Linked DNA regions of Danio rerio. The main gene of each other region encodes a partner of the protein of the gene in region 4 in a complex. Links are inferred from orthologs where the notes say so. Each region holds a gene or a part of one and is shown on either strand. Other genes may lie near its edges. The genes, in order: immt, micos13, apooa and chchd6a.

Region 1 (8,660 bases), on a different chromosome or scaffold from region 4:
CATCTGAAAACTGCAAATGACAGAATATATTTCGTCATGTGACTCATACTGTATTCATAGATATCTAGTTATACTCCCATTGGCCTGATATGTGTAATTCATTTTCCCTTAGTTGACCAAAATACTTACTTGTGTAAAAAGCAACATTTAAATATGTTACTTGTGTATAAAGCAATTTTTTGCAATATGTGAACAATCCATAATGCTATATTTTCCTTATACACGAGCTGAAATGGTTGCTGTTGAGAGTGGCTGCTTCCTCAAGAGGAAATACAGACATTACTTTGATTTTATTGAGCTTAAAAAAAATTATTGCTGTAAAATGCAGTCTATGTCCAGTCTCTAAATAACTTTCGACTGCTTTTAACTCGATCAGCAACTTGTGCAAGCATTTGAACAGAAATCATTCTATGACAATACTCGTCACCAAGGAGAACACCTGCACCCAAAAACATGGTTGCCCAACTAAGCCAAAACAGGCAAAATTATTTTTTTGTGTGCAGCATTGAGAGTAAAGTTATATTCTGAATGTAAAGAGAAGAGTACCTGCTTATGGGGCTGTTATACATATCGCGTCCTTGCGCACAAGAAAATTGGGAGCGCATGAGCATTTCCCAGAGGCACCCAGTTGAAAATTGCAAGAGTCACGTGCAAGAATTCATCAGCAACAAATCACGCCAAACACATCTTGCGCCTTGTTGCGGCGTGTGTATGATAGGGTCCTAAGCGTTGTTGTGTTAGCTGTTTTTCTCCTGTCTGACTCTGAACTCTGTGAATATGAAGCATGTCAAAGTAGGTGGAGTTTCAAGACACACCCACCAATTGCATAATCATCACAGACCAATGTTAGCTCAAAGATGTTTAGGAGCCAGAACAAACACCCCCAAAAAGTTGGCTTTGGTGAGCTGTTTCGAACTGCGGAATCAAACTCAAATCGAACATCGTTTTGGCCTGATTTTGTTCGAAATTATGCCATTTCAATACTTTTATTGATTTTGTTTAAGCATACCAGGGCCTTTAGGGAGTAACTGCTGCACATCTGAAAGTTCTGAAGCCTGGTTTATAACCAACGCGTTCGCTACTGCGCACAGCAAATGTGACATCATCACTGTGTTTGCAAAGTTTCGCTTTGCGTGTGAGCGACATAATTTTTTGAGACTCGAGCGAACAGTTCAAGCAGCGCCACATTTCATTTGGGTTGAATATGAATCACTTTGAAGAGATTTGTCTAAAGCAGGTACGACTGTACAGACATCTTTAGGATCTGTCCTTGTATGATCATTAGGGATAACCCAATGGTCAATAATTCTTAGCTAGAAATTGCAACAGCCATGAGAAAGGAGAAAAGTTTGGAAAAACCTGAGAGATACATTTGTTACAGCCAAAAAAGACCATGGCAAAAGTGAAGTTAATGATTAAAAGGTAATATTGGACCAGTGTTGCCTTTTTAGTATAAAAGCAGAGGACACAAACTAGCCAGACAGTAACAATAATGTGTGAATTGTGAAGTGGACTTATTCTATTAAAAATGTCAGTATTTTTTAGTAAATGTACTTCTTTTTGGCCTTTATTTATGCCATAACAAAAAATATATTTGTAGAGCAACCCATGTTCTGTTGTCATTGATATTTACCTTTAATAGGTAGAACTGTCCGAGATATAAACAAAAGCAAGTGATGTGTCAAATAATGATTTAAAAAATCTTGAATGATTTTAAAAATCTTTATAATCATTAACATAAATTATAAAAAATAATAAAACTAACAAATTTAAAAATGTTGAACTATGTTAATGATATGACGTGGTTCGGGAAACTTTCTACTTCTCTGTTTATCTGTCTGACTTCACGGTGGGCTTCTATATAAGTATAAAAGGCATGTACGTTTCGTGAGGTGCGTGCGCATTCAAAAGAGGTTTGCGACGTGGCACTGGGCAAAAGTATAAATTAGCCTTGAGAAAGGTACAAGTCCCACTTACCCTCCAGTGACTGAAGTGCTGGCGCTGGTGCTGGAGCTTCCTCTACAGAAGGTGGAGGTGCTGGATCAGACTTCTTGGCTTTAGCTTTAGGCTGTTTGGAGTCTTTAGTTGCTTCTGACAATGAAGAGATTTGCAGTGGTTTGACAGTCTCCTAATTCAATAAAAATACGAAATTAGCCAACATCATTGATTCTGTCATTAAAATCAGTTATATAATAATAATAATATGCTCACATAGTTGCATAGCTAAATCTAATTACAGAATGCATATTATTTGTGTCTTCTTTAAGAATTAAAGTGATTTTAAAGGGCCATGAAACCCCCGTTTCAACAGCGTGTTTTCACATCTCTAGTTTGGAAAAAGTCAGGAAAGTGGGTGTGTCTAGCGCGGTATAGGTGGGAGTGACGGGGCAGGGAAAGATGGAAGGATTTGAATAAAAATGGGATTTTTCATTTACGCACACGCTGATTTTCACTGAGGCAAAAGAAACACACAGATGCAGAGGAGAAAGACAGAGACTTTGTTTAATGACTGTTGAATGTTTGATACCGCACGTCGTCAGAAAGCCGTTTGTGTGTAGACTATCCTGTCACAAAATGCATCGAAATTAACATGACGGTCTTTAATGTTTACATGTTTACAGAGAACAGCATTTACAGCAGATCTTTCAGTCCATAATATTGTAGTGATATTAATGTACTGTAAGCTTCGAAATGATTTTGACTAAGGTCTGTCTTTAAACACTGAAAGAGTACTGCTGACGATACGAATTAACTTTGCCATTTGAATAAAAAAATAAAAAATAAAAAGACAGATGAATCAACACCAACTGGAGCTGCGTCTTTTTTAAAAGGAGACAAGCAGCAAATGCGGAAAGCCAAGCTCTCGAGTAAAAAATGTTCCATACAAACGTATTTCTGCCGCGTGTTGCGTGCAGTGTAATCTACATGCGAGTCCAGCTGCGCTCTCATAGCGGGAAAATGAAAACAAAACCTTCGTTGCAGGACATTTAAAAACGCAACACAGATGACCCGTATCTCTCATATGGGTAACAATTCTTCTTCTCCCACTTGTTTTCTTCTTCTTTCTTTTTCGAAGCTATCATGCATATTAATGAAGTTGCACCGCATACACAATAGAGCGCACTGTTTGGTTTGAACCAAGTCTTTGTCATGAATGAATGCAGCACACTCAGAGAGGTCACAAAGTACTCCCAGGTATAGAAAGCCAGTCTCTATGCTGAAATACATGCAAGGATCTAATCGGCGTGACGCAGCTTCATAAATTTGTTTCAAACTGGAACAATGAATTTGCTTGAAGTAACGCACAAACACCCTATTTTCACTTCTTTGTGTAATATATGTCCAAATAGTGGTTTTAGCAGCATGGGACACATATATGACTGTCAACAGCTCAAAAAATGTGTTTTGGTTGTTCGTAACCCTTTCACTTACCGGTTTCTTTTGTATAGGTACGGGTGGAGAAGGGGGTGCCCCTAGCACCATGTCAAATAGTTGATCCGAATAGGGAACACTCTTCTCTACAGATGACCGAAATTTTGGGTCCCATTTGGCATAAAGGATAGTCCCACCAAGACCACCACCCACTGTTAAAAGACTAGCAGCCACTATTTTCCCAGCGGAGGATCTGCAGAACAATAAGCAAATAAATAAATAAATAAATAAATAAATAAAAACATTTCTTTAGCTCAAGTGATACAAAATAGGGACTGACAACTATGACATTATAGAAAAAATGTCTACATATGCAGCATAAATGAAATGTAATATGCTTTAGATAAATGTTTCTGCCAAATGGATAAGTGTAAATGTATGATTGAGAAGTCACTCATTTAATAATTGTCCAATTAACTACAAGAAAAATAAACAAATCTGCGTATAAACAAATCACAGTAAACTTTTGTTTAAGTGGAAATTAATTGTTTGATTTTATACCCAGAGTTTCCTGCTGTGGTGTATCTGCGGCAGTGCTGTAATGGATGGGCCTTCACTTTACCACACACACATTGCTGCAGAGAAACAAACAAACAAATCATCTCACATGCTCTACAACAAAATAAATGACGAATTAAAATATTAAGTACATAAAAAATAGCATTGTTTACACTAAATACAAGCATTGTCTTACATAAACGTTAATTAAATACAAAGAGCCACATCTTTCCAATGCGAATGCTATTCAGCGGGTTTCAAATTGGTAATCTTTTTGTGCAGTTTGTATATCTGTAAAGATCGGATATTTTATTTTGAGCTAATTTAATGTTTGTTTGTTTTTGTATGCTCTAAATAATAACACTTCTATTTGGAATTTGTGTGTGTTGGTGGTTTCTCAAAACATGAACTTTGAATGAATGAACTTTTGAATCTTTAATGCTTAAAATGAATCTTTAATGCGTATACATTTAGATGTTGGTTATTTTAACAGCTGTTATACATATTAACAATTGTTAATTTGACTAATTAACATATAGAAACGCAATAGACATGTTGGCAGCGTTTGTCTTGGAAACTTTCTGAACTTTCCCTGGCAAGGTCACGTCCTTCTATTGGACAAAACGTGTGTTTCACGGTGTTTACAGAACAGCGTTACAGCTCTATCATAATACGCTTGGCATGAAAATGGTTCTGGTAAAACACAATTGTATGTAAAACAGACATGAACTCATGTAAAACTAAGATTTTCAGACAGCTGTTGACTAGCTTGGTTATCCGGGTGACAGAAAAAATGAATCATACACATCCCGCCCACATTTACGCAGACGTACACATGAGGTAGTTTATTGGTGGAGAAAGCAGTCACTCACTTAATAGTGACATTTCATTGGCTGAAAGAATTTGCCTATCAAACTGTAAACGCCTCTTTCTTCTCAACGTTACGTCGTTGACGTACAGCAGCACTTCTAGCACTGTGTTCCATCTAAACCGCAAATAACAAGTCGCAACAAATAAAACCATAAACTCGTTATGAAGTTTAATAAATATAGGTTAATAAAATAAATAATGTAGGGTTTATGATAATCCGCAGTTTAATTGTACGCTTTAAAACGCAGGGCCTCGCTGTGGGTCACTGAATGACCGCTCAAGCAGAAGAAACTTACCCGCGCTGCTGCATGTGCCCCTTTCCAACAGACGCGCAGCATGCTTGCCACTTCGGATACTGAGTGTTGGATTGAAGATCAGGAATATGCCACTGGTTTCAGCAACACATCATAAAAGTGAACAACCTTAACAGCAATTTCGTCCCAGCACACTGTAGATTAGCTCCAGCACTGGCGGTGAACGTAGTGACAGAGCAACGCATGCGCGGTAGGCACACCCAACGTGCTTAATACGTCACGAGTTCACAGTAAAGACGGAAAATAATTAGATTTATTTGCTTCTTATTTGAAAATATGCTCATACTTTTAGTAAATACATGGTTATTGTTATTATAGATAGCTTGGAGCTTTCGTTGAGATCGCTGAAATATAGGTAAGTAGCCCTTGCAAATGACAATTACTGGCATATGGCATTTTCTCAATAATCTTTAGTAACACTTCACAACAAGGTCCCATTAGTAAAAATTAGCTAATGTATTTTGTAAATTTAACAATAAGTAATTTTTTTTCAATATTAATTGTTGTCTATACAAGATAGATCAGTGAAATGTTCCCATAACTTTAGTAACTTTATTTTTTATTATATACAGTACTATATTGTGGATGCTACCATGATCAGTTATTGTAGGAGATATAAGGCTATATATATACCTAAAATCTATGTCTGTGTAGGTTATGTGTGATTTATGTAATATAGACCAGTGTTTCTCAACCACGTTCCTGGAGGACCACAGTCTCTCCACATTTTCCATGTCTCCCTTAACCAAACACACAGATCATAAGGGCCCGTTTTTTCAAAAGGTTTAATAAAATAGATCTGGATTTAGTAATCCTGTTTTTGCGATCCGTGATCACGTAATCCAGTTTACTATTTGAGTTTTTCAAAGCAACATCGGATTGGATCAATCTGATCCGGATGGGAAATTTTCAGGATCACTAAATGTGGATAACCAGTGCTCAAACAGGATGGGAAATCACAATGTAGAACTATAGATATTTAAAGTGCAACAAGTAGAATGGCCAGTGTGGGGTCAATATAACTTTATTTTTATTTGAAATTAAAACACACACATTTAAAAAAAATAAATAAATAAAAATTTAAAACGAGAAAAACCCCACCCTATCCTCTTCCAGCAGTACGCTCATCTGAGACCTACAACACAAACACTGTACACTGAGGATATTTATAACAAGTTTCAAATATAGATGTATTGAATAAAAAAAAAAAAGACTTAATGTCTAACCTTCACAATAATTTCAGTCTTCCTCGTCTGATGAGGAGAGACCAGCTAGAAGGCGAATCTCAAGTATGGCCTTGGTTTGCTGCAATTTGGTCAGTCAGAGTCAGTTGTTCCTCTGCCAGATGAAGTTGTGCTTCTGCCCTTTCAGTCTCTTTTTGCAATAGTTAAAAGTGATTTAAAAAAATTGAGATTCTCATTCTTTGCATTTTTTTTTGTTTTGTTTATTCTGTAATCATTGCATACATCCCTAATAAATATTCTGAAAAGAAAAATATTTTACCATTGTGATTAATATATTTATAAATTAGTGACAGAATCAAATTTCTTGTTTTTAGTCAATTTAGATAGCTGTTTGGGGGATTATTTTATGAGGCCAAACTCTTTCTACTTTGCTGTAGGCCTATACTGAAAGGCTGAATACGATAAAGCCTACCTAATCACTGTAGCCTAATGAATGAACAAATACAATTAAAACCTTATGAATAAATAGGATATCTTGTAAGATACTGCATGATCCAAATATAGTAATTATTTGATACTTTTTTAAAGTTTTCATTACATTTTGGGCATAAAATCCATGCTGAATCCACCCTTCTGAGTTTAATCCAGATTTTTTTGGATCGAAGTGATCCAAATCCTACAAAAAAGGTCTGAAAAACCCAAACTCAAGGTTTGATCCGGATCAAAATCAAGATTGGATTACATAATCTAATCTGATTTAGTAATCCATTTTTTTCTTTTGAAAAACCCATTTTCAAGATTTGTTCCAATCCCTTATCCAAAATCCTAGTGGATTACTTTTAAAAAACCGGGCCCTGCTCATTGGAATAGACTGAAAGACCGGTAACTGGTCTGACAGACAAAGGAAAGATCTAAAACATGCAGTGCTGGTGGGCCTCCAGGAAAGTGGTTGAGAAACATTTGATATAGACATATTTGCCCCCTATAGATTATTGGTGTAACATGCTCTAAAATGGTAGAATTTAACTTATTTCAAAAAGTAAATTCATAGATACTATACCACTGGTGAGAAAGCAGGACTTTATTGAATTTTAATGTCATTACAGGTAAAGGTTCCCAAATTACTTTTACACCCTGACAAACAGCAAACGTCAAAGTGTAAAGTCTTTATTAGTGTTAATGGCAAAATGCTGTTAAAAATAACAAAACATGCTCCCACAAGACAACTTTATTTGAAGATGGAGCCTTTAATTGCATTTCAGTGCCTAAGCCATTTTCAATTGCACAGGGCCGTTTTACTCAAGTAATGTAAAGCTGTAATTCCTTACAAAAAAAAATTTAATCATATTTACATGCCCAGAGAGTAAACCTTATATAAAGGCTCACATCTCCTAGAATCTTATTCTCCCCGATTAATTTTAGACAGATTACTCACATTTGGAAACACACTGAACACAAACTGTGATTCTCAGGTACAGGAACATATGGATTTTTCTTTTGTTTTATTGGGATGTATGATGTGTGGGCGCTAAAACAGAAGCTTTTCAACTATGTGTGTTGAATCTACCATTAAGTATGTTATAATTTGCATAAATTAGCATTTTCTTTTAATTTTATTGAAAAATATTGGGAAGTATGAATTTAATTAATGACTGTGCAAGTTAAAACCACCAACAAAAACCCCAGGAACCCATGTTATGAATCTATAGACTAAAGATGGACACATCAAGTCATGTTTTTCCTTTTTTTAAATAAGTGCAGGAAGCAAGACGTAAATGAATCACGCATGGGCTATTCTGGATCGAGTTGTTCAGTTGCACGTTGTCGTACGGGTCTCTTCTTGTATGATGGCCACCGGCACACTGGGCAACAGTGCCGCCCTCCAGCCAGCCAGACCACGATGCACTGCTGGTGGAAAACATGGCCACATGGTAGACCCATGACAAGGCAATCCGTTTCAAAGTTCTCAAGACATACGACACACTCGGTGCAGTGAAGCATACCACAAGGCCACTGAGACCAATCAGTATCCTGTTCCTCTCCACCAGACCAACTCTCTTCTGACTTGGTTGCAGCTGAACACCCGTAATGATCATGAAGAACGTCTGAACTGCACTGATGCGCTTCCTTGTTCCCACTGGAGTCCTCATTTTGGTTCATCGTGGCTTTCTGCCGTTTGTCGCGGTCTGCTAGGTTGGAGCCTTCAGGCTGTAGGAGTCTGAACTTCCAGGTGGGCAGGTTCTTGATGTAATCTATCGGAACAAGTGGGCGAAGCCAGAGATCTGGGAATGCCAACCTTTCCAAAAGGAAATTAGGATCATCATCCCAGTCTGACTCAAAGTTCTGGAAAGAGGCAATAGGA
Region 2 (7,210 bases), on a different chromosome or scaffold from region 4:
AATACATTATTTACAGATCTACTGAAGAATAAGACGAATGACATCAATAACTATAATATATTAAGATTTTATATAAACTATAAATAAGAACATTTAAAGTAATAGAACATTATCTGTAAAACAAATCTAAACTGTTATATAGGCTACAGGCTAAATAAAGGCACCTTGTCAGAGATTTACATCGTGTGCGTTAAAGAGGCAATGAATGTAAGCCTGATAACTGATCAAATGACAGAATATGTAAACTTAGTTTATATAATTATATACATATAACTAAATATTAATAATTCAAAGCCTGGGTATTGTCCTCAGAGGGCTCTTATTTTGGGGGCTACGTCACAAGCTCAGATTTGGTTGACCAATCAGAGGAAAATGGACATTTTAGCACCGCCTACATGAGAATAATGAATTTTAATTGTTTTTTTTTTTTTTTAGTTAAAAAATGGATATGGATTTAATTTAGCAGCCAATGATTATCAAAGTACAGCATTGTTTACAGTAAATTTGATGGTGCTAATGTTGTTTTGAAGTCATACTTCCATGCTAATTCTGACCTAATATTCAAATTAGCATGGAAAGCAATAGAAACAGTTAAATAAAGGAATGTGCAAATATAAAACCAACTTTACCTCATTGTATTTGTGTTTCTTTATGTTTTAGGTTTGCAACAAAAGTGACCATTGCGGGAGGAGCCCTGTATGTGGCATATGATTCAGGACTTCTTGGAGGTAGTAATGAGGGATCTGTGGCCTTGGCCCGAGCTAAATCAGCCATACCACCTGCTGTGGATGAGTGGATGAAGTACTTTGGCTTCGAGGTATGAAAAGAAATGAAACTAAGTGTATGATTGATAACGAAAGTAGAACTTGACTTTTTGATGAAGTGTAAGGCTACAGTATATGGCAGATGGCAGCACTGACATTATTGAATAAAAAGAGAGATAGCGGGGAAGTCTTTTGGGTAATTAAATAGTCTTGATGCACAGAAGACTGTTTACATATGGTATTAAAATGCATCGCAACACCTTCACACAAAACTCACGATTTCAGATTTTAAAAAAAGAGCATTTCATAAACTAAGGATGAAACATTTACACACAAATGAATCACAGTTTCATGGTTTTCATTGTTGACGCGCTAGACTCAGATGGAGGGCAGGAAGTGATTCTCCTACATAGGAATCGCTATCAGAACATCAATTGTTCTGCAAACAAATGTTTGCATATGTATGTAGACTGTATATATCAAGTATGTAGACTGCGTCCATGCTTTTGTATGCTTTCATGTCTGCGTGGGGAAAAACTTGTAATTTATAATAAACATGTTTTTGAACCACATAGTAAAGTGTATAACGTGTTTAACTCTTAGTTAACGGATGCTATAAAATACTGTAGCATAGTACACTGATAGACTGTAATAAATACTGTAACATTATTATAATCTGTGGTGCATGGTAATGGTGTTATAGTGTAGAAAACTTAAGCCTATTCAATAATTTGTTTATTGCTACAGTTGTGTCATACCACAGCAACAATATAATTACTACGACAGTTTAATTCAAGTAATTATTTATTGTATGCTTCCGGACACTAGTATATACTATGGTATTTTTTTCATGGAATGTAATGTATTTTAAATATAAAAATATTTTAGCTCAGTAGAAAACTTGGTCCTCTTCATGATATAAGGATCACGCTCGGCATATGTGGTTATTTTCTATTTATATCTTCTTTAAAAAATGGTATAAATCCCAAAAAATGAACTTTCTTCTATAACTCTCATTCATTCATTCACCATAACCATGTGATTGAAAACAACCTTTTTTAATTTATTATTTATCTCTGCTCAGTAACCAAATAATACAGCTCAAAATAAAATTAAAAGAAAGAAATGTCAATTTATCTCTTTGAATTGAAGAAAAGTGAAATCTTTTTCGACTTAAACCCAATTAATATGTTAACAATGAAAACAAAATGATTTTGTCTATTTGGGAATTAATATACGATGTATATAAAGAAAGCAGTTAAAGGATGCTGGACAAACGCGTTTTTGATCAACTGTTATACAAAATTGTTCTGTATGTTCATTTTGTGGATTTATTTAAACTTTTTGGACCCAAGTAGTGTAAAAAGACAACTAGTTAGCTTTAGTATTATAGCTACCTCACCTTTTGAAAATTAAAAAGGATATCTGCGGGGCCTTAAAATGTCTTAAATCTCAAAAGCTAAATTGTAGACCTTAAAAAGTATAAAATATACTGAAATGTTGTGTTGTTGGTCTTAAATCTTTTTTTTTATTTTTCCTTTGTTCATTTATAGCTACCCAATCTGGCCATTGACATGCATACAATCACCAACAGTACATCTCAATAAAACTTTATATTTAAAAATAGCATTTAATTATTTTCGTTACAGCAACATTTGCTTAAGAGTTCTTATAAGTTTTTTTTTATTATTAAATTATTATTATTGTAGACTGAAGTAATTGACTGCTATGTTTTGTTTTATTCTTAGGGTTATAAGGTTTGTGAATGGATGTATTTGAAAAGTACAAAATTATATATTCAAACAAAATGATTATTATTGTTTTATTAAATATATTACATTTTTATCCTTTTTTTAATAGGGCGAGTGAAAATCTTTTTTAACTGGGATATTAGAAAAAAAAAAAATTCATAGCATTTCACCCAGTATAAGTCTTAAAATTTATTCATAATGCTCTTAAAAATGTCTTAAAATGTCTTAAATTTAACTTAGTGAAACCTTCAGAAACCCTGATTTAAGTGAATTTGAGAATTAAAGTTTTGTTTACAAACAGCTTGGTTAATCTCTGCATCTTTATCAACAACTTGTCTTGTCATTTAAGAATTAGGTCAAGTCATTTTGTGTGCATTCGAATGCTTTTGACCACTTGAGCATTTCTACTACAAGCAATCCAATCTGGTATAATCAAACAGGGCCTCACACTTCTTGTAAATAAAAAGTCTTAACTAACCTTTGAATTGCAATAAGTGTTTTATTTTATTTTTATTTTATTTTATTTTTTTGCTAACCAAATACTTCTTCATATTATACCATGTTTTATCAAAGTCAAACTATTATAATGATCTTTAATATAATATTTTAGCTTCCAGCAACCCCCAAAATTGAGTTCTCCCCATTGGATGCTTGGAACTCAGGTAAATGCCTCTGTATTTAGTGACAATTATATGTAATTAATTTTACTACACACAGTATATGAATATACTATAGTTATGTAATCGCTCCATTTCTTTCCCCCAACTCAGGGGTCCAGAAGTCTATCCACGCTTTATCGGTTGCTCCGTCCACAGTTGGTGACTACACCAAACAAGGCCTGCAGTATGTCAAAGACCTGTCAAAATGAATCTTCAGCATTAGTGTAATATGCTATCAAGAAATTTCAATCATTGAGAAGACTTGGACAAATCAAGAAGCGATTTCCACTTCATATATACATCACAGACTGAATTCCACTCACTTTTGAGAAACAACTATTGGAAATAATGAAGATTATACTTGTGCAAACCTAAATATGTCCTTGTTATTGCACATGTTGTCCAGATAGAAATACAATTGTCAAAAATGAACCCTAATTTCAAATAATAAGAGCGCCTTCTTTGTGTATTGTTACTCAACACTTGTATTTATTTGGGAAATCTTTTCCTGGAAATGCTCTGTTCTGGTATTGTCCCATCTGTAATTTTACAAAAGCACTATAACAGAGGTTTGTATAGTTTCCTGTATTGCTCTGTCTAATGTAAAAATATATTGCGTCAAATATTTTGAGGGATGTCTTTTTTTTTTCTGTGTGATTTGCATGGTTCTACTACTACTTTACAAGAAAATGACGTACGGAAACAATTGGATGATCAGTTAACCACATCAAATGCTTCATTAGTAACACTATTCATTTTTACCACAGAGTAAAGCTGCATTCGTGTGAAGTTAGACCTCAACCCCTTTTTTCGCCTCTTGACTCATTTTGAAAGTCATGCAGAGGTCATTTATATATATTTGTATTACCAGAAAATATGCTCAGACCATGTGTGTGCCTGGAAACTATTTCAGTTTTCTTCGTTTTTTAGTTTGTTGTGCCCTACATAGTTAAGCAAGAAAGCAAAGCATGTGATATGATCAAAAATGTCATGTACCACAATATACAGTCTTATCGTGATTGTTTTTAATCTGGGTTTTTAGGACAATTGGGGTTTAAGTTTCTGAGAATTTAGACCTTAAAGTGCTCAAACTTAAAGTAGAGCTGGACGATGTTTTAAATACGTTTCTTAACTTTGGCCAATACAATATAATTCTGATGTCGATCTTTGGATGAAAAATACATTTTTTTATTGTTAGTTGCAAAGTAATTGATTTAAGAATAGTGTTTTTATATATTTTTAAAAAAACTTCTTGCATTGAGTGTTGTGTTAATACTGTAATTGGTGAAATCTGTCTTTTGGTGCTGACTTTAATATCAATGTCAAGCACATCCTGCTTGCCTTTGGGGGTGAAAATTAATATTTTTGATGAATTCTGAGAGCTCCCTCATCCAGACTTCAAGTCACAATATACACAAATATCCTGAAAAAAAGAGCATGTAGTGGTTCAATCAGAATATTATGAATATTATTGTCCTCAGTGTCATTATAGGGTGCGCATTGACCAGAGCACTACTGTTTTCATGCATGTCGCACTCAGTTGAATGCATCCATTGTATACGTCAACGCACATTTCTTGTAAATGACCCCCCTATACTGACAAAACTGATTGGAAAAAAATAGTTTCATGTGCATGCAAAGGAATTCTTGTAGCATAATAACATTCTGAATAAACCACTGAAGCTGTTTGGTCTGTTTTGATACTTTTAGGAACTTTAAACAGATTGTCACCATTGCTATATATGAAGGATAAGAGAGCTCTCAGATTACAATTTGTATTTCGAAGACCAATGAAGGTCTCACAGGTTCGGAATCAGAACAAACTGAGGGAAAGTAATTAATAACATAATTTTCATTTTGGAGTGAATTAACCCTTTAAAGCAGGGGTCACCAACTTTATATTTGGATATCTATCTTCCTGCAGATTTCAGTTGCAATTCCAATCAAACACATGTCTGTAATTATCAAGTGCTGTCTCGGGTCCTAAATAAATGGGTTCAGTTGTATTTGATCAGGGTTGGAGCTGAAAGGTAGAAATCAATGGCTGTTTTCACCTGTTTACTCCATGCGTATTTTTATTTATTTATATTTTCAGGTCAGATAGCTATCCAATCATGATATGGGCAGCTGTAAACGTCCTCTGAAACATATTTGAGTGTGATATAAATCCGATCTCCTTTGCAGGAGTTACAATATCCAGTTCTCAAAAGTCTTGTGCACAAATGTTCTCTGTGTGTTTCACGGCCTTCTTTCAGTGGCTTCAAAATTTTAGTTTTTCCCCTACCACGCATTAACGTTTCTTTCTCAAAAACACAAACACATACAAACATGCTGCTTAAGTATTATTGTAGCCTAACTTGTGCTGTTTACAGTGTTATCACACTTTAGCCATTAATATGTTTTAAAGATACTGAAAACAAGACAAATGTCAGTGCATGTCAAAACTTCTCCAGAGCCCCAAAACACCCTCAGACCCCAGAGGGTTAATGCAGCTTTAAAAAAAAAAATTATTACATAATTTAAATTGATTATTAAACTGTATACACTACGATATATTGACAAAGCATGAAAGAATGACAACAAATAGAAGTGTGTGTTTGTGTGTTTTAAAGTGTATGAACTTGCATTGTGGGAGATGGTTAAAGAAATCTATTGGCTTTAGTTTTGCTAGCGTTTTTTTCCACACCCTAACAATTACAATTCAGATAGCTATTGTTTAAAACAAGCCTCAAAATGAGTAAATACTCTTTAAACAAATAAACTTCATTGAGACATTTGCCAAAAAGCCTAAAACTAATGAGACAAAAACTAATCCTAATGGCTACCATTCAAGGTGTTTTAAACAATTTGTGTTTTAAACAATTTTATCTAACAGACTAGCATAAATAAGCAGACATCTCCATTCTCACGAGTTTGAGTTTTCTCACCTTTTCAACCAAGTTTATTCAACCAAGGTAATTTGGAAACATGTTCAGTGCTGTTGCGAAAAGGCTACTGTGTAAATCCCTGTCCTGCTCATTTAAATTATTTGATTAATGATTTAACAGTTCAATATAGGCTTCTCTGAAACTGAATATCTCACTTTAATTTTATGTAGGCTAGATTATTATTTTATTAGACAATCCAGGTAGTGATTTGGCATTGTTAAAGCATATAGCGGATTTGTTTTGAAGCACTTCACCTGAAATGTTATTCATTCTTCTATTTTGTTTAGAAGGTAGTTGACCAAGAAAAATATTTAAACAAAGAGGCTATATATATGTAAAAAATATTTTTTTTTAAAGAAAATTTAACAAATTATATTTTTATTTGAGCTCGTCAACTACTCAACTGTGCGGGTGGATGATTTTTGGTTAGTGGAAAGTAAGGATTTAATCAGTGCTTCACTAATTGTATTGTATCACAATTTTCTGTCATATATTTACACATTTTTTTAATATGTCATAATTTTACATAAGCGTCTGGTTTTCTCTTGGTGCTGATGTGCTTTATTACATTTAGATTTCAACAAAATAGTAAAATTAAAAAGAAAATGAATTATGTCATAACGAATGCCCTTAAATAACGTAGCCTTTGACAGTAAGCATCCATGTTTCTTTATCATTGCGGGAAGGGGGCGGGGCTGGATTTGTGCATACCTTGGAATAAAATCCTGCAGGCGCCCCTTTTATAGCCTGCACATAAAATAATTAAAATGGCAAATAAGATATATACAGTAGTTCACGCTTCTGTAAATAATAAGATTAATTAACTACATGTGGTTTGTCTGGCGCTTTAGTCAACGTAATCTAGTTAAATTTGCATATAGCGTGTGATTTGAAGATCGGAATCATAATTGTTTAGCAGAGATGCCTTGAAGTGTTGAAATGTAAATGGATCTGTTTTCACAATTCAAGGATTCACAAATACAAAAAAAAAAAAAAAAAAAAAGAATGAAGTTATGAAGTGAAGTAATCAGGCCCTATATGAGCTTGTACTAATACAACACCACACCAGATGCTCTTTCTGGAGCAATTTCTTCTTTTTTTTCTTTTTT
Region 3 (7,911 bases), on a different chromosome or scaffold from region 4:
GCAGATCTGTTCGGCGAAATATCTGACTGCGTGTCACCGCATATCAAATAACTGAAACTGTATAACTAGAGAAATCTCCATTGTGCTGCTGAGTGAGAGAGGGCTTCTCACTGAACAGCGCAGCAGCGATGACGTAAGCGTGCCGAGGCCCGTTTGTGGTGTGAGTGCGGGCCATCGGGGGAGACGGGAGGAGGGACAAGCGTGCTTTTACAGTTCGAGGCAACTGTACCTAGTGTGAGTACGGCCTTACTGTTCAGTGAACGCAAACTTTCGTAGATTATTAAAGAGGCAAACCCCTCATTGCACCACAGCTGCACCTTCAGCAAACCTCCTAATTCCTGCAGCACGAGGACTTTATGATTGCTTATGAGCGTCAAAAGTGGCTGATTAGTTTGTCGAATTATTTGACTGCGTGTCACCGCATCCCAAATGACTAAAGCGATATAACTAAAGAAATCTCCACTGTGCTGAGAGAGAGCGCTTCTTACTGAACAGCGCATCATCGATGATGTAAGCGTGCCCAGGATTGAATACAATGTGAGTGCGGGCCGTCGGGGGAGACTAGAGTGGGGACAAGCGTGATTCGGAACGGTTCAAGACAACTTTACATAGTGTGAGTACAGCCTACAGCTAGCCAAACAAATAAAAGATCTTGATCTCAGCCAGAGACTTTACCCCCCTGCAACAGATTATCTGTGGCGAGTCACGTCTCGGATCTCACTTATATTAATTACGCTGCTATCCCACAAAGACAGATCTACCAGTATGGTGATGGCTCAAGTTAAATCTTTTAACTGCTCCATCAGATACAGTTTTTCCACATTCCAAAACACCGGTGTATCATATTTTCTCATTTTACTCTGGGACTTCTCCATTCTGGTGATCACCCCCTCTCTGTGGACTTTTTCGCTACTTATTAATCTATTGAACGTCTCCAACAGATTTGATGTTCAGTCAAACGTAATAAAAAGTCTTGATCTAAGCCAGACGCCAGGGACAGTTATCTGTGGCAGGTCATCATCTTGGATCTCACTTATATTAATAAAAAAATGTAATTAAGCAATTAAATGTGTTTTTTTTTTATTATAAAAATGTATGTTATATAATTATATAAAAAAATATTACATATTTTTAGATTTAATTATTTTAAACATTTTTTTCTTTGTTTTATTTAAAATATAAACGTTTATACTTATTTTGTGATTATTTTCTAATTCGTTTTAACAATTTTCTCATGTAAAGCACTCTGAATAAACATTTAGTATGAAATGTGCTTTACAAAATAAACGCCTTGCCTTAATTCTGAAAAGCTTGTGTACATTTTTACTCTTTTCCATTTATTTATGGTTCAGTGGTAAATCTCACCTTCACTGCATGAACTAAATCTCAAACCAGCATGATCTAAAACAAGTAACTAAACTAATACTCTGATTCTCACTATCTTTTACTCATTTTGTATAACATGTCTTTGAGTTTTACAGTAAATCAAACCCCATAACCCATAACTTACCCCGGACAGGTTTAGTGAAAAAATACTTACATAAAATAAATAATAATAATAATTATTACAAATCAATTAAAAAAACAACTTACAAGATATATTTTTATAGACCCAGAAAGAGAGGTCTGTCCCTGGGCGATACCTTATTAAAAGGAACAGTTCTGTTCCTGACAGGTCCTTAAAGGGATATATTAATACTCCCGTGAATTAATTCATTCATACATTTTCAACTGCTTTTCCGGGGCTGGGTTGCGGGGGCAGCAGTCTTGGAAGGAACCCCAGATATTTCCTCCGGGGGGAACCCGAGATGTTCCCAGGCCAGCCAAGAGACATAGTCCCTCCAGCATGTCCTGGGTCTCCCCCGAGGCCTCCTCCCGGTGGGACATGCCTGGAACACCTGCCTAGGTAGGCGTCCAGGAGGCATCTGAAACAGATGCATGAGCCACTTCAGCTGACTTCTCTCACTGTGGAGGAGCAGCGGCTCTAGTCTGAGCTCCTCCCAGGTGTCAAAGCTCCTCACCCTGTCCATAAGGGTGCCACCCTGCCACCCTGTGAAGGAAACTCATGTCGGCCGCTTGTATCCCAGATCTTGTCCTTTCAGTCATGACCCAAAGCTCATGACCATAGGTGAAAGTAGGAGAGTAGATCGACTGGGAAATCGAGAGCTTTGCCTTTCAGCTCAGCTCCTTCTTCACCCCAACGGGGCGGTACATCGACCGTGAAGTGCTTTGAAATGTTTTATTCTATGTTTGAGCTCAAGCACATCACACGAAAAGTGGTTCAAAGGGGACAGGGCATATCAGATACTAGAGAGCATTTGATTGGTCAGAAGATTTGATGGGAAACTGAGGTAAAAAAAAGATCCATTAATGCGGAAGTGGCAAACTGCAAGCTTTACATGTTTATATCATAGGGGTGTAACGATACACTCAGCTCACGATACGATGTGTATCACGATATAATGTTCATGATTCAATATGTATCACGATATTTGGAATAAAAATTTAAAATTAAACTGAAATGCAAATTTTACCAAGTAAACTATTTTTTATGTATTTCTTTTGTTTCAACTTGTTAAACTGAACCTTCTTTACGAAAATAAATTAAACAGGCCTGTCCCTGGAAAATAAAACAATTAAAAAACTTCTTAAAATATTATTGAACATTACTAGCCATTATTGAACTTATTAGCCACATTTCCAGGTATTTAATTCATATTTAATTAAATTCATTTAGAAATATCTCTAATTACAATTGTGACTAGTCAAAACTCATTTAGAGATATCTGCAAATATTTTTCAATGGAAGTCAATGGAGGAATATGACTAGTCATAATATTTTTGCAGATATCTTCAATCTGATATCGTACTAGTACAATTGTAATTGCAGATATCTCTAATTGTCATTCTGACTAGTCGAATTATAATTATGTCTAGTCAAAATATAATTAGAGATATCTCAAAATATATTTATGGATAGTCACAACAAAGGTTTAAATGCTAAAACGGCTTGCCATACGTGCGCGTCTATCAAAGTCCGCCCTCTGTAGTAACAGCTCACGTCATGTGTGATTTTGCGGCGGGAACATTATTTGAAGACAGAATGATATTTTAGGGTGAATTGTACCTTATAAATACAGTATGTGACTCTTTCAACACCATTAGGAGGTATCTCTGTCACTGTGCAAAGTATGTAAATCACTGTGAAGACTTTAAAACTTAGGATGTTTGACCCAGTATGCGTGTCAAAAAGCGGACGAGTCTAAAGCAATGACTGGACAACCGAAATGTTGCCAGACGTCTGATTTTGAGAGGATGGGCCATCCTCTATTTCAGCTTCACTCATCTTGGTCTGCTAACATTACTGCTGCTGCAATCTGAACTCACGTGCGACAGCAGGTGGAACGTAGCTCACATGCAAACAGCTCAACTAATAAGAGAAAACGGACGTCATATCGTAATCAAATCGTCATAACGCCACGATGCATATTGAGACATTTTTGCATCGCAATAAATCGTACAACGATAAATCGTTACACCCCTATTATATCAGCTTTACATCTTCTAAATGTGTATCTTGTCACTGTTTTGTAGCATACTAGCTAATAGATATCCTTAAAACTAACAGACTTAACCTAAAATCTTAAAAAACTTTCACAGGACCATTAAGGGTACAAAAGTACACCCTAAAAGTGCTAATGTTCACCTGTAGCGTGCAAAAGTGTACCTTCTGAAAAGGTTTCACCCCCTGACAGATTTGTCCCCTTATTTCTGACTGTGTACTCATGTTAGTTTCTTCACAGCTGATTTTCAGGCTTTACCTCCTCTACACTGAGTGTTGTTTTGGGCTTGTCATCAGCGGACGCCGCCAGCACTGAGGCTGAAAACAATCCCAGAGTTCCAGAGGCTCCAGCGACTCCTCCAGCCTATCAGAAGAGAGCACCAACAAACCGGTCAGACAGAAAAATAACCTCTTTATCAGAGTCTGTGCTCACTGTCAACATGGCTTTCCTAGTCAATACCATATAGACACACACATTTACACACTATAAGGACAGCACGAAATATTAATGACACACTAATATACTAACATACAACTTTTTAAGGTAAGTGGTTGCAAACAATTCAGCCCATATAGATTGTTTGCAACCTTAAACAAACTTAATAAATCCAATGAATCATTTTTTCAGAGTAAACGTGAACGCACACCAATGTAATTGTTTACACCTTCAAACTGTTACCATCTGGTCAATGATATTGTGTCCCCAGATGTGTAAGGAAAAGGTGGAAATTATAACTGATCCCTGAAGCATTTACACTTTTAATTCTTCCTCTTAATGGTCAGTGGACTGGATGTTTATTTCGATTAGTGGTGCCTTAGTTTGAAAATTGATCTATTTATATAAATGCCTATTATGAAATATTCAAATGTCTCTGTCGGTGTATGCTGCAAATCAAATATCCCAATGGGGAGAAATTAAGTAGATTAAACTAAAAGTTGCTGGGTTCCACAAAATAAAATAGATTTGTGTTGGGCCAACAAGAAGGAATTAAGTTTGAGCACTAAGGTAAAACATCCCCCTTAAAAATTTAGCTGTTTTGGCTCATTTTAAATAAGTGGTTTGAAAATAACAAACAGCAAATTTAATTATTGTGTAGCTAATAATTGTTATTATTTATCACTAACTTACTCAACACCTTTCTGATTTGAAGAGTAATGTAATAATGTGGACTTGTAAATCTGCATTGGAATTATAATGAATGTGAAAAGCGCTGTACAAATAAATAGACTTGAATTGCATACTCAAACTACTCATGCTGCCATTTTGAGGACCTTCAAGGCCCACTGAGTTTAACTGCGAACATTACAAAGGCAGGAGAAACTGGAGGTCAGATGATGTTCATGTGGGGGACAAGGGTTGAACGCTGTTACGTAACGCTGTTTACATCCCATATCTGCTGTCCTTTACATACAGATGAGGCACAACATTGTTAGGCAATGGTGCGTCCAGATTAAAGCCTCTATTGTTTTTGTTAATTGATGTTCTGCTAAAATTAAATATTAATATTAGATTAAATGTTGTCATGGCATATTTGTTTTTAAATTTAATAAAAAATATTAATGAAAGTTTTTAAAATTATTTGATGAAATTATTAAAAATAAAACACTAAATACAAAAGTAATAATAATAATAATAATATTAATAATGAAAGTAAAAAAAAAAGAAATTTAAAAAATAAAAAGTAAAAACAAAAGTAATGATGATGATAATAATAATAATGAAACTTTTAACAAATTTATGAAATTATTAAAAATAAAAAGTAAATGCAAAAGTAATAATAATAATAATAATATTAATAATAAAAGTAAAAAAATATGAAATTTAAAAAATAAAAAGTAAAAACAAAAGTAATGATGATGATAATAATAACAATAATAATAATAATGAAACTTTTACAAATTTATAAAATTATTAAAAATAAAAAGTAAATGCAAAAGTAATGATAATAATAATAATAATAATAATAATAATGAAATAAAAAAATATATTGTGTGAAATTATAAAAAAACAAGAATGATAATGAAAGTTAATATATATATTTTAGGAAATTATTAAAATAAAAAAGGAAATACAACAATAATAATAATAATGAAAGTTTAAAAAATATTTTATTAAATTATTAAAAAACAATAATAATGATGATGATAATAATGGAAGTTTAAATATATATTTTAGGAAAGTATTAAAAATAAAAAGGAAATACAACAACAACAATAATAATAATAATAAAGTTTTGAAAATAATTTTATATTTTTTTTTCAAATAAAAGGCAAATACAGTAATAATAATAATAATCATGAACGTTTTAAAAAATAATTTTATGAAACTATTAAAAATAAAAAAGTAACTACTAATTATTTTGCTAAAATAATAAAAAAATCGTAGATAAATGTTAAAATTGAAATGTTGCCATGGCAACAAAATAATAATAATAACAATAGTAATAATAAATAACAACAACAATAATAAAAGTTGAAGTATTACAATTAAAACTACAAAATGTAAACAAGCTAAACACAAAAGAAGAGCATATACTATTATAAAAATTAAATGTTAAATGATATAAACGTCTAAAATTCTGAAAACAATACAAACAGATGATGCACAACATTTTGGATCCAATTCGAATGTTGACTATTTATCCTCTACTTGACAAAAGTCTTGTCGTCTATAGTTGATCATTTGGTATCAGAAGTGTCATAAGAAAAGCAAAAGCCTCTAGATGACGCTTATTTCACTACAATAAAATATGATCCTGCCTTGATTATGAATGATTTCATTAGGACAGTAAGGTCTGACTTTGCTCAGACAAAAGTCTCATCACTGAACAGAAATAATGTCCAGTATAGAATATAAAGTCCTGCTGCAGTGGAGACAGAATGAATATTGTGTCTGACTCCATCATGAGCTTGGAGGACTGCATCCATACATCTCTGACATGACTCAAATCACTGATTAATAAAGTCATCTGGAATGAAGAAGAAAGCGTTCCTGCAGGACTCCCAGAGCTCATCAAGACTCTTTGTGTTCATCTTCAACGCCTCCTCCTTCATCTACCCCAGACATGCTCAATAATGTTCATGTCTGGTGACTGGGCTGGCCAATCCTGGAGCACCTTGACCTTCTTTGCTTTCAGGAGCTTTGATGTGGAGGCTGAAGTATGAGGAGCGCTATCCTGCTGGAGAATTTGCCCTCTACTGTGGTTTGTAATGTGATGGGCAGCACAAATGTCTTGATAACTCAGGCTGTTGATGTTGATCATCCACTCTGCAGATCTCTCACACGCCCCCATACTGAATATAACCCAAACCATGACTTTTCCTTCACCAAATTTGAGCTGGGCTCCATGCAGGTTCCAGTAGTTCTTTCTCTAGTATTAGTGATGATTGGGATGCAGCTCAACAGATAATTCATCCGGAAAATCCACCTTATGCCACTTTTATAAATGATCAACTAGAAGTCAAGTTATTATTAGTTGCTCTTACTGTACAACTGGAATCAACGACAAGACTTTTGTCAGGTAGTGTAAATAATGATATATTTATTGATACATTTGCATATATGTATAGTCAACATTCGAGGTGGATCAATAATGTTTTTCAAAATTTTCCTAAGACAAGAACTATTTCTAATACTTTATAAAGGAATTTTGACATTTTTAACGAATTTATAAGTTAAAAAAATCATTATTTAGGGGTGGCGTGGTGGCGCAGTGGATAGCACGATCGCCTCACAGCAAGAGAGTCGCTGGTTCCAGCCTCGGCTTGGCCATATGGCATATGTGTTTGGAGTTTGCATGTTTGGAGTTTGCATCCGGGTGCTTCCCCCACAGTCCAACCATATGCACTATAGGTGAATTGGAAAGGCTAAACTGTCTGTAGTGTATGTGTGTGAATGGGAGTGCATGCGTTTTTCCCAGTGATGGGTTGCAGCTGGAAGGGCATCTGCTGCATAAAACATGGATAAGTTGGCGGTTCATTCCGCTGTGGCGACCCCTGATTAATAAAGGGACTAAGCCGTAAAGAAAATGAATGAATCAATCAATGTTTAGGTTGTCTGTAGGATTTCACGGTGTTTTGTTGCCATCTAGTGTTCAGTTTTAAAAACGCACCTGAGCGCTGACGTGCCGCCACTCAACGGTTATCAAAAACGTGAATTAATTTAAATAATAAACACTATAACGTTTAAATAACAGCGGTTTTACTAACTTTAAATCAATCCTATGTTTTTATTATAGGCACTGGCACATTTAATAAAGCCAAAACAGAGTTTGACAATAACTGCCGGTACAATAATCGCATTAAATACAACCGCGCTCATTAATTTACGCTTTTAATATACAACGAGT
Region 4 (7,911 bases):
AATATTGTGTATGACTCCCATGAGCTTGGAGGACTGCATCCATACATCTCTCAATGACTCAAAAAACGTATTAATAAAGTCATCTGGAATGGCAAAGAAAGCACTCTTGCAGGACTCCCAGAGTTCATCAAGATTCTTTGAATTAATCTTCAATGCCTTCTCCATCTTACTTCAGACATAATCAATATGTTGTTCATATGTTCAATGTTCATATATGGTTACTGTGCTGGCCAATCCTTGAGCACCTTAACCTTTAGCCGCCACATCAAAGTTCCTGAAAGCAATGAAATATGAAAAGGAGCATTATCCTGCAGAAGAATTTGCCCTCTCCTGTGGTTTGTAATGTAATGTGCAGCACAAATGTCTTGATACTTCAGGCTGTTGATGTTGCCATCCACTTTGCAGATCTTTTGCACGCCCCCATGCTGAATGTAACCCCAAACCATGACTTTTCCATCACTAAACTTGACTGATTTCTATGGGAAACTTGGGTCCATGCAGGTTCCAATTGGTCTTCTGCAGTATTTGTGATGATTGGGACGCTGAACAGATGATTCATCAGAAAAATCCAAGTGGTGCTCGCTGCATAGCCATTTGAGGAGAGCTGAGCTCCAGCGAGGGGGAGCTTAAGCTTGAGCTCCACCTTTTTTGCACTTCTTCTACGAGTGATGTCACTGGGGGTAGGGTTAGGGGTGGGGTTGGTGTACGCATTAAAACAGCTTACAGGAGGAGGAGCGACAGCTCATGCTCCCCCTCGCTGGAGCTCAGCTCTGCAGCGAGCACCCTCTCGAAAAATCTACATTCTGCCATTTGTCCAAATGATCAACTAGAAGTTATTATTTGTTGCTCTTACATCTGGGATTGATGCCAAGACTCCTGTCAGGTTGTGTACAGGCTTGTTTATGATACTTCATTACATTACAAATCTATTTAAAAAGCTATTCAGCTAAGGTAATTATGTTGAATAGAACTTTTAAATGTTTTTATTATAATGTATTTATTTTATTTATACTAATGTCAAATGTAAAATCTGGATTGTAAAGCAAACTCACTTTAGAATCTGTTGTCACACTAGTGATGACAACTAGGGCTGCATGATATGGGAAAAATTTGACATTGCGATATTGTTTTGTTTTTTTCTCTCTGTGATATAAATACAATTTCAACAGATGACTTAAATACCTCTATTGGCCAAGTCATTACTTTAGATTGATTGAGATTATTTTATAGGGAAGTGAAATGTTAACATATTTTCATTAATTTTGTTATATACATATAATAAATACAGTCATCAAGTAACACAATGGAGCAAATATTACAGTGAAATAAATACATACTTTATGGTTTTCTAGGTAGAGTCTAAGGTCACGTTTACACTGTCAGGTCTTGATGCCCAATTTCGATTTGTTGCATATATCTGTGTCGTTTTTGTTGTTGTTGTTGTTGTTGTTTTTTTTGCCTGTCCGTTTACACGTTCTTTTAATTGTGACCCATATCTTATTCAAGTGTTTACACATGCCATACACTTTACAAAGTCGTGCATGCACAAAAGCAGGTTTTTGCATCTGCGCCACAAAGGTCTTGCTTTTAGCTGTGCGAAATATGAGACGTTCAACCAATTTTAAAATGATTTTGAGGCGGAGGAGGGAAAGGGTCATCATTGCAGCTTGCGCCTATGGTTTATATATGGTGCCCTCCACCATTCAGAGGAATTTTTGGGTATAAGAGAGATCTCAGGTTTGGTGGGAGCAAATTGTGGTGGGCTTTAATGCAATAGGTCTGAATTTTGGGATGGCCAAACCAACAATTGATTTGATACCACTTTCCTCCTCCATGTTTTCTCTGTTGTTATGGTTTACTGTGTCAGCATCTCCACACACATTCGTCATTCTACGTCATTAAACTGCGGAGAAGTACCACATTGTCAAGTTTAATGGCGTACAAAACGTAACACCTCAATAAATCCCATCTGCCTGTTTACATGATTGTTGCATTGCCACATATCTGAGTTATATCTGATTTATTTCCATATATGAAGGAGGCCTAAAACCGATCTCTGAATATCCGAATGCATGCGTTTTTTTTTTCAAGTTTACATGGTCATAGAACAGATTCAATCTGTCACGTAAAAGCAAAAAAATTTTATTAAGTCACATTTAACTGGCAGTATAAACAGGGCCGAACAGCATTTGGGTACAGAAATGCAATAATCAAATGTAAAATAACATTGCATGTTCTTGATTATATGAAAAAACTGTACAAAAGCACGCACGTCTCTCTAAATTGGGTGCTCAGCCAAAACCGCAAAAAAGTGCAAATAAATTTCAATCAAAGGCGGCAACACCAAGGCTCCGCTCTGACACGCTCTGTGTCAGCCTTTTCAATTTAATAAATTTGTAATTTTGGAGCCTTGGTGTTGCCGCCTTTGATTGACATTTATGTTCTTGATCGTATAAATAATTCAATTATTTAAATCTTTATTAAACTTCTTTATGCGCTATTAAAATGCTTTAAACTCTCTTAAAATGCTCACAGTCACAGGCCTTAGAAACACATGCATATAATAAACTTTCACTTTATTATGATTCAATTCATCAGTGTCTCCACAAATCTTGTGTGTTTTGGCCTGTCGTTTCTGGCCATCTATAATTTCAACTCAACATGAGCAATGTGACTATTGCGGATGCACACATTGCGGTATCCATGCTCAAACGATATATTGTGCAGCCCTAATGACAACCTATACCAAACTCCACACAAACATCCGAATGGCATCAGTATGTATGCTCACACATCCGCTAATAAGGCAGAAATGTTTAAAGAATGAGCAATGTTCAGGAATGAATTGAGAATTGAGTCATAATAACGTTCGCTACCTGCGTCCACACACACACACACACACACACACACACACACACACACACACACACACACACACACACACACACACACACACACACACACGTTTACTCTTCAAAGCTTGAGCCCAGGGGAAGCTTTTTCTATTAAGTGTCCAGAACATGTCAGAGCTCAGATAAGACACACACCAACAAGACGTACCAAAGGATCCTCGGGCATGGGACGACATGTACTACATCACACAACGTTTTTCAATCCCACGTCTACCAGATGTCGACACGTGCGACGTGTAAGTCTTATTGACTAGATAAGGTGAATGAGGGATACAATCCCTAAAGGACCCGAATAAGTGGATGAGAGAAAGAGGAAGACGGGACAAAGGGGAAAAAAACTGAGTGGAATTCAAAAAAGCCAATTTCACCCATGTCAAGAGAGCAGCAGAATGTTTCACAGACGGGGACTTGACCGGGCCGCGTGCTCCTCGCCTCCGGGACTTGATTTAAAAGAAAAACTTTCAAACCGGAAAATGAAGCCAGATAAGAATACTTATTAATTTTTACATTTGTAAGTATTTATGCAACACAGAACTAGTTTGGCTGGCTGGATATAGATGAATTTTAAGCAAGCAAAAGTCACCAAAACTGTCAGAACTGTCTGTAGAAATCAAACTAAAGTTAGGCCCAATCCCAATTCTATTTTTGTACCCCTACCCTTCCCCTTGGCCCTTGAAACAGAGTGTGAAGGGGAAGGGCTTCAAAATGTACCCCTGAGAAATAGGACACCACTACAACACCCACACTCATCATCATATGTCATCATATGCAATCTCGCACTTCACTTCAATCGATGGTCACTGCTTTAGTTATTCCAGTTGCATCCTTTTTTGGTATTCATCTTTAGGAAATCATTGAAGGCAACATAAAAACGACTTCAAATGCAATTCAAATGCAAATTAAAGTATAAAAAGCAGAAGTGAACAAACAGATTTTCCCTACCAGCAAATATTAATCAGACCCCAAAAATAAAAGCAGACTCTAACTCGCTATAATGACTAAATCTCTAAAATACAGACCAAAAACATCAGTGAATTGAAGCTCTGACATGGACATGAGGCTTATAAATTACTGAAAAACACCTGCGGGTGAAGTACAGTTGAAGTCAGAATTATTAGCCCTCCTGAATGATTCGCCCCCCTGTTTTTTTTTTTTTTTTTCGTTTTTTTCCCCAATTTCTTTTTAACAGAGAGAAGATTTTGTCAACACATTTCTAAACCTAATAGTTTTAATAACTCATTTCTAACACCTAATTTATTTTATATTTGCCATGATATTTACCGTGACACTTCTATACAGCTTAAAGTGACATTTAAAGGCCTAACTAGGTTAATTAGGTTAACTAGGCAGGTTAAGGTAATTAGGCAAGTTATTGGATAACGATGGTTTGTTCTGTAGACTATCGAAAAACAATTTAGCTTATAGGGGCTAATAATTTTGTCCTGAAAATGGTGTTTAAAAAACTAATAACTGCTTTCATTCTAGCTGATATGAAACAAATAAAACTTTCTCCAGATGAAAAAAATATTATCAGACATACTGTGAAAATTTCCTTGCTCAGTTAAACATTATTTGAGAAATATAAAAAAAAAGAAAGAAAATCAAAGGGGGGCCAATAATTCTGATTTCAACTGTATATTGAGCACAAGTGCTCAGATTGTGATCACATCTCTGTTTTGTTCTGTCGATATGTAGTTTCAAATATTCGTAGCTTGAAACAGATGGAAACATGATTGCTAATAGTATGACTACTACTGTGAGGGCTTAAACGGAGCAGTGCTCATAATATCAAGCGGAAAAAAGAGAAAAAGACAGCTGGGAAACATAACCTGCTTTGTATTTTTGCAGGAAACACAGTTTGATCTGTTTAGGGTAAGAGATGTGTGAGTTATTGCCTGAATGTGTCAGGAATATCGAAAACAAAATAAACTTAACCCCGCTCTTTTATCGCCCCTCACACAGCTTGATCCACGCTGGAATTTCTCCTCTTGGGTTTTAGGTTTTGGAAAGGGAAAAAAATTCCACCACCTCATCCAAACTTAGGATAGCGGTTATCAGCTTCTTTCCCTCGCTCGAAAGCTTGACAGGCCTCCTGTGCGTAGCTACGGTTGCTAAGCCTTGATTGGTGTGTGGCGGTTTTTGGGTGTGGCTTGGTGAAGGGTCAATTAAGTTATTAAAACTATTACATTTAGAAATGTGCTGGAAAATTTTTCTTTCTGTTGAACAGAAATTGGGGGAAAAAATAAATAAGGGGGCTAATAATTCTGACTTCAACTGTATCTATATAAATTCACTGCAATGTGTTTGCCACCAACATTATGCACAGCATTTAAGCCGGCTGCCTCGGGATGCAGTGGAGTCAGAGTGTGCTTGCCTGTGTCGTTATACTTCAGTCCTGAAGTACTGTGTTGTGCTGAAGTGTTTGCAGAAGAGACTCACCAGCTGTTTGGCTCTCTCAGACTCCTGCCGCGTCTGTGCTCGCTCTCTCTGCACCGCTCGACTGATGTCCTGCCGCGCTGCCTCTCTCTCTTTGCGTGCGATGCGAGCCAATTCCTCCTGTATAATGGCCTGCTGCTGCTCATACCTGTGCAGGAACACACACACCGCTTGATTTTCAAGCCTGTTGCCAAGCCATGAGTCATGACTCACTCGCTGCAGTTCTCAATCCTACCACTGCATGTCAGTGTTTCATGCTTTGTTTGTCACTTCATGATTCACACTTGAACTGCATCCAGGAAAAAGTGAGTCCTATTCTAATTGCAGTCTCTGCCCTTTTGGGAGCTCCACTGCTAGTGGGATTTTTGAGCACTATATCAGATATACTAGTCGACTGATATATGTATTGTCATATTAGGAGCACGATTTAGAAAATGAAAAATTAATTGGTTGAAAATGTCAGTTTCACACCTACTAGGGTTGCACAGTATACCAGTACTATGGTAGTATCGTGACACTACGGCTAAAAAAAACTGTGCCACAAACGGTAGTATCATCATTAATGGTTTATCTACAATAGATGTTGCATGTATAAAAATCACTAAAATGCTCACATGTTTGTGCAACAACAGACTTTATTTTAATAGTTTGTGGAGCCCTTTAACGTGGCAAAACTATATGTAGAAATAGTGCCTTTTATGGTAGTCTATAGCACGTTTTTGAACGCTTCAGTTTGAACGCGCATCTGAATCAGTTCATTTCTGTTCCTGTTAATATGATTTAGTAGCTACAACAACAGCAACAATCTCTTTAGAATAACGACTCACAAAGTGAAATTTTAGATTACTTTGGATTGTTGCCTGATAAGACTAAAATAAAATAGATGAAAACCCCAAAATAGCAACAGGAAACATTGAAACAATTTTTAGCACTTCATATAGCCTCATTTTGTTGGGAAAAATGCTCTTTTGTAACAAATTGAATTTGGTATAATTAGTTTTTTTTTTTTTCTTTTTAAGTATTTTTTGTTGGTCAGTTATCAACAAAATAAAAAATAAATAAATACATTTAAGGTGACGTGTATATATAATATTTAGATGTATTCCTTAATGTAAACTTACTTTTTAATACTAATGTTATGAATTTCAATATCACATTTGTAATATGATTGCATTTTATCATATTATTTAAATCCGATTATGTATCAATAATTAAACTTTGTTTAATATTTAGATTTAGACATCTGTACTGAAGTACCTCTTTTTGAGCTCCTCTTTAGAGTCGGGAAACGTCGTTTTGGCCTGTGTTTTTGGAGCTTGTGCGTCTGATGTGCTGGGTGTTCGAGTTTGATGGCCTGCAGGATTAAATTAAATGTAAAAAATTATTAACTTGCATTACAAACTAATGATTTTACATATCATAAGGGAAAAAGTGAATATGTTTGTTTATTGCCACATCAGCAACTTATGGCCATTTCATGGCAAGATCAATATATAAAAACATTACATGATAAGAACAACTTACATTTCAATAAGAGATGATATACAAATATATCAATAGAAATAAATAAAAACATTCACAAAAACTGTATACTAAAAGATAATTATAATTTTCAATTGAATATTTGATTTAGCTTAAAATGTGACCTGGTGAAAGTTTTTTTCATTCTAAAAATCTTGTCTAATAGTTCAGAGTGAATATGAGCAGCAAACAATTATGGATGGAGAGGCGATAATAATGTCATACCTTGGTTTTCTTTATTGTTGGCAGGTGGTCTTGGATCAGCGTTGGTGTTCCTCATGCGTTGTAAGACGTCTTCAGACAGCTGAGTACACAAATGTAGAAAGTGACTGATAAATATACAGTTGAAGTCAGAATTATTAGCCCCCTTTGAACTTTTTTTCTTTTTTAAATATTTCCCAAATGATGTTTAACAGAGCAAGGAAAGTTTCACAGTATGTCTGATAACATTTATTCTTCTGGAGAAAGTCTTATTTGTTTTATTTCGGCTAGAATAAAAGCAGTTATTAATTTGTTAAAAACTATTCTAATGTCTATTCTATTAGTCCCTTTAAGCTATATAGTTTTGATAGTCTACAGAACAAACCATCATTATACAATATCTTCTCTAATTACCTTAACCTGTCTAGTTAACCTAATTAACCTAGTTAAGCCTTTAAATGTCACTTTAAGCTGTATAGAAGTGTCTTGAAAAATATCTAGTCAAATATTATTTACTGTCATCAAGGCAAAGATAAAATAAATCAGTTATTTAAAATGAGATATTAAAACTATTATGTTTAGAAATCTGCCCTGCGTTAAACAGAAACTGGGGAAAAAATAAACAGGTGGGGCTAATAATTCAGGGGGTTTAATAATTCTGACTTCAACTGTACATATGCTAAATTAATTAACACATATTTTAAAGCATTAATGTTATGATTTGTCGACAGACAGATAAACAATCATGGATATAGTGAAAAAAAATGCATCTTCCTTTTTGTCATGTATCATTTATGAAGTTTTACAGGTTATTTGTGCAGTATTGCTGAAGATTTACAAA

The links.
Region 1: chchd6a (region 4) and immt share a complex: the UniProt entries of both Homo sapiens proteins name them as parts of the mitochondrial contact site and cristae organizing system (MICOS) complex. The link is inferred for Danio rerio from reciprocal best matches to the Homo sapiens genes CHCHD6 and IMMT.
Region 2: chchd6a (region 4) and micos13 share a complex: the UniProt entries of both Homo sapiens proteins name them as parts of the mitochondrial contact site and cristae organizing system (MICOS) complex. The link is inferred for Danio rerio from reciprocal best matches to the Homo sapiens genes CHCHD6 and MICOS13.
Region 3: chchd6a (region 4) and apooa share a complex: the UniProt entries of both Homo sapiens proteins name them as parts of the mitochondrial contact site and cristae organizing system (MICOS) complex. The link is inferred for Danio rerio from reciprocal best matches to the Homo sapiens genes CHCHD6 and APOO.

Annotation. Positions count from the first base shown.
Region 1 is NC_133189.1:18,388,059-18,396,718, reverse strand, and holds the start of immt (MICOS complex subunit MIC60), read right to left. Parts: upstream 5,300-8,660; 5' UTR 5,139-5,299; coding exon 5,097-5,138; intron 4,008-5,096; coding exon 3,934-4,007; intron 3,626-3,933; coding exon 3,433-3,625; intron 2,129-3,432; coding exon 1,978-2,128; intron 1-1,977. UniProt on the Homo sapiens protein: Component of the MICOS complex, a large protein complex of the mitochondrial inner membrane that plays crucial roles in the maintenance of crista junctions, inner membrane architecture, and formation of contact sites to the outer membrane.
Region 2 is NC_133197.1:19,392,498-19,399,707, reverse strand, and holds the end of micos13 (MICOS complex subunit MIC13), read left to right. Parts: intron 1-660; coding exon 661-817; intron 818-3,125; coding exon 3,126-3,177; intron 3,178-3,285; coding exon 3,286-3,383; 3' UTR 3,384-3,729; downstream 3,730-7,210. UniProt on the Homo sapiens protein: Component of the MICOS complex, a large protein complex of the mitochondrial inner membrane that plays crucial roles in the maintenance of crista junctions, inner membrane architecture, and formation of contact sites to the outer membrane.
Region 3 is NC_133180.1:4,979,049-4,986,959, forward strand, and holds part of apooa (apolipoprotein O, a), read right to left. Parts: intron 7,084-7,911; exon of another isoform or gene 6,889-7,083; intron 3,954-6,888; exon of another isoform or gene 3,927-3,953; coding exon 3,822-3,926; exon of another isoform or gene 3,815-3,821; intron 1-3,814. UniProt on the Homo sapiens protein: Component of the MICOS complex, a large protein complex of the mitochondrial inner membrane that plays crucial roles in the maintenance of crista junctions, inner membrane architecture, and formation of contact sites to the outer membrane.
Region 4 is NC_133198.1:37,035,237-37,043,147, reverse strand, and holds part of chchd6a (MICOS complex subunit mic25a), read right to left. Parts: intron 7,174-7,911; coding exon 7,095-7,173; intron 6,703-7,094; coding exon 6,606-6,702; intron 5,497-6,605; coding exon 5,352-5,496; intron 1-5,351. UniProt on the Homo sapiens protein: Component of the MICOS complex, a large protein complex of the mitochondrial inner membrane that plays crucial roles in the maintenance of crista junctions, inner membrane architecture, and formation of contact sites to the outer membrane.